Linked DNA regions of Callithrix jacchus. Each later gene encodes a partner of the first gene's protein in a complex. Links are inferred from orthologs where the notes say so. Each region holds a gene or a part of one and is shown on either strand. Other genes may lie near its edges. The genes, in order: PDS5B and WAPL.

The links.
Region 2: the proteins of PDS5B (region 1) and WAPL are in contact, whole or in part, in a crystal structure (PDB 5HDT), measured with the Homo sapiens proteins. The link is inferred for Callithrix jacchus from reciprocal best matches to the Homo sapiens genes PDS5B and WAPL. Residues at the interface, in NP_055847.1 of Homo sapiens: Gln47, Phe88, Ala92, Pro93, Ala95, Trp137, Val138, Lys139, Ser140, Asn142, Ile143, Phe145, Glu146, Glu187, Gly188, Asp189; in NP_055860.1 of Homo sapiens: Lys7, Thr8, Tyr9, Ser10, Arg11.

The regions. Positions count from the first base shown.
Region 1 is NC_133506.1:151,836,831-151,841,370, reverse strand, and holds the start of PDS5B (sister chromatid cohesion protein PDS5 homolog B), read right to left. Parts: upstream 2,890-4,540; 5' UTR 2,749-2,889; intron 2,303-2,748; exon of another isoform or gene 1,908-2,302; intron 1,850-1,907; 5' UTR 1,672-1,849; intron 1-1,671. UniProt on the Homo sapiens protein: Regulator of sister chromatid cohesion in mitosis which may stabilize cohesin complex association with chromatin. May couple sister chromatid cohesion during mitosis to DNA replication.
Region 2 is NC_133513.1:43,534,488-43,538,299, reverse strand, and holds part of WAPL (wings apart-like protein homolog), read right to left. Parts: coding exon 2,867-3,812; intron 164-2,866; coding exon of another isoform or gene 146-163; coding exon 45-145; intron 1-44. UniProt on the Homo sapiens protein: Regulator of sister chromatid cohesion in mitosis which negatively regulates cohesin association with chromatin. Involved in both sister chromatid cohesion during interphase and sister-chromatid resolution during early stages of mitosis.

The DNA.
Region 1 (4,540 bases):
TTTTATTAATAAATATTGCTAAATCCTGAATAAAACAAAAAAAGACAAGGGGAAAACTTCTAAGCTTCCAGGATCTCTAAAGGCTGTCCGAATGCCACGATGTGAATATGACTGTGATCTTAGATAAATCAATGAAATTACAATCTGAATTTAATTTCTCATGTATGAGTTGGAGATCATCAGTTAAATTTTCTTGTTGCTCTCTAACACTAACAGAGGAAACACAAATGTATTCTTTTCTAATATGTTATATACAATCCATGTCATTCAAGAGTCCATAAGCCAAATCACAGTGAGCACTACTCCTGTTAGTTCTAAGGCAGTCTCTAAGTTTTCCAAGAGAAATAAGCAGAAAGAATACAACTTCTCAAAATATTCCTTCCCCACAGTTTTGAGTACTTTCTACCATTGCATTCTTCTCCAGGGCAAGCCTGTCTAATACAGGGTACCACTTTATCTTAGGCCTAACAAATTACTGATAAAGCCTACTCCCCAAAATGTTACTTTGTTAAACAAAGCTGCAGAACAATTTAAACAGCTTTCATCCAACAGCCAGCTCAGTAGAACCTTATTACAAATAAGCTTAATACAAACATCTCATGACAAGAATCACTATCACGACATGTCTCTCTAATTTGGGAGGGCAGAAGGGGGAATTAGAGGGGGAGAGACATAACCTGAGAGAATAAAGGCGACAAGAGTAACAAAAGCTGCAGTAAAAGGAAAGTTAATATAGGAAGAATCAGACTCAACCAAAACAAAGAGAAAAGAAAAAAAAAAGGCCAAGACAAACATACCTTCCCATTTAAAATACACCTTGAAGTAAAAGCCACCTGAGGACAATTTTTTAAACCATCAGAAAAAAGCGGCAAAAGTCACTATTCTGGTAATTTTTATAAAGTCTAAAGTGCATTTTTTAAAATATATGTTTGTAAATGTATAATGTTCTTAAGATGTGTTTTACAGTTATATTTATGAGAATAAATCTATCTTAACATAAAAGGTCCCATGTAACTTTCACCTACATATTCACCACTATATACATTTTAATAGGTTTTCTATCACCATGAGATACAAGATTAATTGTTCCACAAACTGACCTGCATACACCCGTGAATACTCATCTTATTGTCCCTAAAGATGGAAACATCTCTGACATGTATGCTGCATAAAGAGCTGTCTTTCAAGTGCATGTCTGTGGTTTTTAACTACTTTACCTGACCACTACAGGAGTTAAAAAACGTTCTGTCTGGGAACTCTGTCTGGATGTGTTAACTGAGAACAATGACTTACTGCCATTCAAGCATTAGGTAATTACAATTTATTTACAGCTCGCCTCCAGTATGTAAACACAACTTTAGTTTTTAAAGTTTATTAGGATGATACAGGATTACCCAACTCTGCACAGCGGAAACCAACCCTCTAAATTTAGGCTATAACCAAAGTTTCTGAAACTATTTAATCAACAAGGTAGGATCAGTCGGGGCACCACTGCCCGTCCATCACCTCATAATAAAAGTACGAGAAGCACTTTCTTCGACATAAAAAAGGGTTGACCCTTGCTAGGGAAGCGACATAAAAAAGGGTTGACCCTTGCTAGGGAAGAGAGAATGCTGAAGACGCAAGTGGAGTGGGTGCGTAGCTGCTCTTTCAGCCCTTCCCGGAGCTCACCCAGTCCGCGGCAAGGAACGCAGCAGCCTGCAGTTCCGAAGACGAGGGGCGGCGTTTCAGGGTCCAGTCATTCCTCCAAATAACTGTCGAGCTACTTAGAGTTAGCTTTCACGTCTCTACCAAAAACCAACAGCAGCACCAGCGACAACAGCAAACAAGGTTTTTCCCTAAACTGTAACTTTTAAAGTGGCAATAAAATAACAGTGAAAAAACACTAACGAGTCACAATCGCACACCATTTTCCCCGCCGTTCCTTCCGAAAGGAAAGCTAGAACCCAGTTGTCGCCTGGGAGGAGTCCCTCCACGCCAGCGCTGAGCTCTTCCTCAACTGGGTCCTCAGGTTCCCGGAGCACCCGCTCAGGGCGGCGCGGTGAGCGCGATTTCCCTGCGGCGAGTGGCGAGGAACCGTGTAAAAATGTCACGCTCAGCCCGTTCCCTGGCCCGGAGCGGAGGCCGGGCGGCGCGCCGGGACCAGGCGGCGGGGGCGAGGGTGCCCGCGGCCCCGACCCACGTTCCCCGCCCGCCCCTCGCCCGGAAGGGGGAGAAGCCCGCCCGCGGGAGGATTCAACAGGAGCACCGCGCCGCCCGCCTGCCGCCCGGGAAACAGCCGCCGGCCGCCCGGCCGGGGCGCGGGGGGAGGGGCGCGGCGGCGGCGAGAGGGCGCGGGCGGCCGGTCAGCCCCGGGACCCCCGCCCGCGCGCAAGGTCACCGCCCGCCGCCGCCGCCCCGGCCGGGATCAGGGCGGCAAGTTTAATTTCCAGAGGCTGCCGCAAAGCCCGCGGCGTGGAGGCGCGAGCCGGCGCGGGGCCCTCCCCACCCCCACCGCTCAGCCTGGCCCGCACCCCGCGACCCCCGCCCCGGGCCGCCGTCAGGCAGCTGCCCGCTGCAGCCCCCGATGCCGGGAGGCGAGTCGCGCCTGGCAGCCCGGCGGGCGGCGCTTCATCCCCGCCACAGAGACACACACACACACACACACAGACACACACACACACAGCGGCGGTGGCGGCCGCTGAAAAATGGAGCGCCGCGGCCTGAGAGAAGAGACATTTTCTTTCCGTTAACTGAATTGTTTCCTACCTCCGGGTGCCCGAATCGCTACTCCTCTCACTCCGCGGCTCTCCGGGATCCACCGCCGCCGCCGCATCCAATCGCCTTCTCCCCCCCCTCCCCTTCCGCAGCCAGCCCGGCCGTTCCTCCTCCTCTCCGCTTCAAAATGGCGCCAAGCGCTCTTCGGCAGCTGCTCCAATCGAACCGCGGCGGACAGCACCCGGGGGCAGCCAGAGCGCGCCATAGGTGCGCAGCGCCCCCTGCCGACCAGATGGCCCCGCGCGCGCCCGCCCTCCGAGCTCCGCCCCGCCCCGTCCGCGCGCGCGCGCACGCCCCTCCTCAGCCCCGCCCCGTCCGCGCGCACGCAGCCACACGGGCACGCCGCCCGGGGGCCGCGAGACGGGCTGCTGTCAAGGCGTCCACTGCCCCTGCGGCTTCCTAGACCTCTACCGAAAAAAAAACACACCGATTGTTATGTAGCTCCATCTTTTTAGAAAAAGGGTGGGAGATTTTTTTAAACACTAACATTCCGCACTGATGTGCTGGGTAAACAGACTTGGAATTAATTACTTTGCTCCTTGTTAACTCTGCCTTCTTCTCGGAATGCCATACAAATAGTGTTCCTACACTTTACTTGCTACGTCTTTATTAAATCTCCCAACTTTCCTAATTTGAGATATTGTATATAGGTGGTAGGCTGGGAGGACACACAGTAATCAGCCTGTGACGAAGCATACCATTCCTTTGGCAGAATTGTCCTCATTAGAGGAAGAAATCATCTGGAGACCACAGGGACACATTGCAGGAATTGGGTCTCCTCCCCCTTTACCTCCAGGAGATGGCAGTCCCTCCTGCAGCTGTAGTGGGCTTAGCCCGGTCACCTACCTTGGGGGAAGGTTTCCTCCCCAGCCAGGTTTCTGCCAGAGCTAAAAAAGGGACTGCCTCCTCTTTTTACTTTAGTACCATCCCTGCAGTAAGGAAGTTTCTCCTGATAAGATGTATATGGTTACTAGGATTTTGTTCCAGGGAGAATTTGTTTCAACAATGAACAAGCAAAGAGTGAATGAATGGATTACCGTAGGATATTTATCAACTGAAACAAAAGATAGGTAATGCTGATGTATAAACTATTGTTACTGTGTTAGAAAAGCTATGTCCTGGCCGGGCTCGGTGACTCACGCCTGTAATCCCAGCACTTTGGGAGGCCGAGGCGGGTGGATCACGAGGTCAAGAGATGAAGACCATCCTGGTCAACATGGTGAAACCCCGTCTCTACTAAAAATACAAAAAATTAGCTGGGCACGGTGGCGCGTGCCTGTAGTCCCAGCTACTCAGGAGGGTGAGGCAGGAGAATTGCCTGAACCCAGGGGACGGAGGTTGCGGTGAGCCGAGATCGCGCCATTGCACTCCAGCCTGGGTAACAAGAGCGAAACTACTCCGTCTCCAAAAAAAAAGAAAAAGAAAAAAAGGTGTGTCCATTGGTATTCCATCGGGCCAGGGCACCTAGTGTTACTGAGACCTCTTCATTTCCGTGTTTGTGAGATCCCCTGGACAATTCCGCTTCAGTCTCCGCCAGTGCTTGTTAGACCAGTATATTTACAGTATGCATTACATTATCCAAGATTTGGCCACTGAATACTCCAGGTGCTACCCATTTTATACATTCCTTAATGAAGTCTACTGAGTTTTTTCTGCCCTCTTTTTAGAATTATCTCAGGAATTTTCTTATTTTACATTGTTGTTCCACCAACATAAATCTTGCACGGAAGAAGAGAGCAGGATATCTAGGCCTAGAAAAACCTTTCCTGACTCTTTTGTTGTT
Region 2 (3,812 bases), on another chromosome or scaffold:
AATAACAAATCAATAATAAAAATCACTGATAATGCTTTACTTACCCGTTTGGGGCCACTAAAAATCTTTCTGGTGTTTTCTTTTGATTTATCTCCTTGTTTATTTATGGGTTTCTTCACACTTTCAGGCACACCAGGCAAGTCCTCTGTAAAATCCAAGTTTTCTGAAATGGTAACCAAAACTGTCTAGCTTACTAACATTTCAAATTACCTACCAGACAACCCATGAAGATTAAATATATATGAATGAATGAAAATGGGAATTAAAGAATAAAGGAATCAGAGCACCACAGAGCTCCCCAGAATACTCCCTAGAATAAGAAGTTTCATTCTGCCATTCTTCTCCCTTCCTGCTTGTCCCTTCCATAAGAGAAATCATAAACCTGGTTGCTGTCTATGTGTTCTAGTCCTAATTTATGTTAAATGGCAAAATTAAATCTTTTCCAAAATAATTTTCTTACTTTCGAGAAGTCACGTAACTGCTGGATATCTATGGATACTGACACTGGAAAGGTCTAGTTTACGTACATATAAAACATCATGTGGTACCCACCTGTAGCATTTTTTTAGGAACTTTAAATCCACTAAATCATGTTAGCGTTCAAAGAATGCCTGTTGGCAACTATAAAAGCCACATTGAAAACACCAGAAAAGGCCGGGTGCGGTGGCTCATGCCTATTATCCCAGCACTTTGGGAGGCCGAGGTGGGTGGATCACGAGGTCAAGAGATCGAGACCATCCTGGTCAACAAGGTGAAACCCCATCTCTACTAAAAATACAAAAATTAGCTGGGCATGGTGGTGCACACCTGTAGTCCCAGCTACTTGGGAGGCTGAGGCAGGAGAATTGCTTGAACCCAGAAGGCAGAGGTTGTGGTGAGCCGAGATCGTGCCATTGCACTCCAGTCTGGGTAACAACAGCGAAACTCCGTCTCAAAAAACAAAACAAAACAAAAAAAAACACCAGAAAAGGAGGACAGTTATCCTTGGCAAGAGATTTTAAATGACCTAATATAACAAAGTTTAATGGTTTGTCAGTCTTCAAACACAACTAACCAAACAATCAGCTTATTTCCCAACTGGTTAAAAATATGTATCTTTATCTAAGCTAAACAAAAAAAAGAAAATAGGAAGACTTTTCTCTATCCCAATGCTTAAAATTTTTTGCTGCTTCATATATGGTATGAAGACTGAAATTTCAACTTTCAGTAGATCAACCAAATGGCCTCTAATTTTCAAATGTTATTTATTATCTACTTTAAGTTTCTCAAAAGGAGTCTAATTCCACATTTTAAAGCTTTAAAAGTTTTACTACCCAATGTGTAAATTTCAGCCACAGATTTTCAATTGCAGACGAGGATAACTTGCTATCCAAGTCAGAATAAAAGCTAAGTCAACTGTAGCAGGACAAGGGCACCGGTATTGTATAGCAGCATTTATCATTCTCCTGAGGAACCAAACGTCTAGCTATTCTGCCCAGCCAGATCTCAAGATACAGTAAGGCTGCTGCAAACTTCCATTATCCAGAAAGCATTCAAAGATAACACTGGATGTATTCCTTTTTTTCTGGGGGAGGGGGTGCGCCCCTAGGGGTACTCCTGTGTATTTCTAGTTTTGAAGAATAAATTGAACAAAATTATTTTTAGGCCAAATAAAGCAAAATGGTAGATAATCTCAAGAATGACTTATACTCTACAAGAGAATCTCTATTTTAAAATGCTATTATAATTCTAATTTACCATAATGACACTTCTGTGGCCCTATCAGGACAAAAACTTTACTTAATATGTAAACCAATCCAGAAAAACTGTATTTGGTTAAAAAACCATGTATCCCAGAGGCTTCCACAAATTCTTCCTCACTAGACAGTCAATCCAGTTCATAAAGTCCTTGTAAGGTAATGACTTAATTATAGTAGAGCTAACCTATTTCTTTTGTCTCTCTCTCACAGTGGAGACTGAACTCCTAGAGGACCTTTCGTCATCACTGGGTCTACAATCTCCCACAAATTAAATTTCCACAGCTAAGAGTGAATGCATACTTACCTGGCACTCTTCAATTTTACTGAACCAACTTAAGAGGGTTTGAGGGTATTTTGAATGTTTATCAGTTTTAATTCAACCACAAAGCGTTTTTTAATTCTAATCTGTTCTTTCCCTCATTATAACCATCTGTTATCAGTATAGTTCCAAAGGTCCAAAACCTAACCTATGTCTTCACTGCATTTGGATTTGTCAAAATGAAAACATCATGATGTCTAATGCCCCTGCCCCATATACCTATATGCTTTAAAGTTCTCAAGTGCTAAAGGTTAAATTAAAACTCAAATATGAACACTCTCCAATTTACAAATTGGTTCCTTACAACCTGGGACCTGATCATTAACACTTAAAATGCTGTACCTCTGAATAAGGTAATCTGCGGTTCTCAACAGGTACTTTTAACAAACATAACAACCTAAAATTGAGTATCTAGGAAGAAACTATGTAGCTGTTGATTTAAGCCTGAAAAGCACACTTAAAGTAGTCCCCCTGCCATCAATAGGCGATACATATCAGTCCCTAGTAGATGCCTGAAACCATGGAATAATACACCAAAACCTGTATGTACTATGTTTTTTCATATACATACCTACGATAAAGTTTAATTTATAAATCAAGCACAGTAAAAGATTAACAATAAGAATAAAACAGAATCATTATAACAATATGCTATAATAAAAGTTATGTGAATGAGGACTTTATCTTCTTATATTGTACTCACCTCTTTCCAGAATGTGGTTGACCTTGGATAACTGAAACCATAGAAAGTGAAACTGTGGATACGGGGGGACTACTGTACTTATTATACATATTTTTAAATTCTTACCTGCATTATTAGTACCAGACTGACTGTCCTGGGAATTATCATTGCTTTCTGGGGGAGGTTGCAAGGAGGGTGATGGAGCCGTTTTAGTTCTTTTTTTGCTTGTCTTTCTTTCCACTTGACAGTCTTCATCTTCATCATCTTCGCTTTCACTGAGATCATCAAAGCCAAAATATTTAATTTTGTAATTAGAACTTCCAGAACCTCCTTCATCACCTCCTGTCTCATGATCTTCAAAACCAAAAAATTCAAGTTTAACATCCTTTTTGGATTTAGTATTACTAGGTCGAAATCTAGTAGTGGTCTTAGAAGTTGCAATATCTGCCTTTTTTCTGAGACGACCAGCTTCTCCCAAATCTGCAGGAGTGGATGCAGTGAATTCATCCATGCTGCGTTCCATAGTATCCTGTATAGTAACATTACAAACTGACAAGCAAGATGGATGTAAAACAGTATAATCTCTAGTCCGTCCAACTGTCCCTCTAAAACTGGTCCCACAACTTACACCACCTTTCTTTGCCTGATTCAGGCCATCTTTACTCGATTCACTGTTTGCTTTGGCTAAGGCCTGACTGGTGCCGTCCATCAGCTTATCAAAATTTGATGCTCCTTGGGAAGATTTCGCTTTATTGGCCCTACAGTACGTCCTACAATTGGTTGGCCTAAGAACACTTTGAACAACATCATCCTCAATGGCTTCATTCAGATTTTCCAATCGATTTTTAAAATCATCATCCTTCATCTCCAAAAGGGAATCACTATCCAAACTTAAAATACAGTCTTCTGATCTGATATCTTCAAAATCATTATCCCATTCATATAAACCAGTTCTTACAGATCCCTTGATTGGAGATATTTCTGATGGCGATTCTGGCCTTTTCCCACACTGGGAGTTCCAAGTATCATTTGTTTCCTTGATTTCAGAGGCCACTGTAGTTTCTGCACTGGG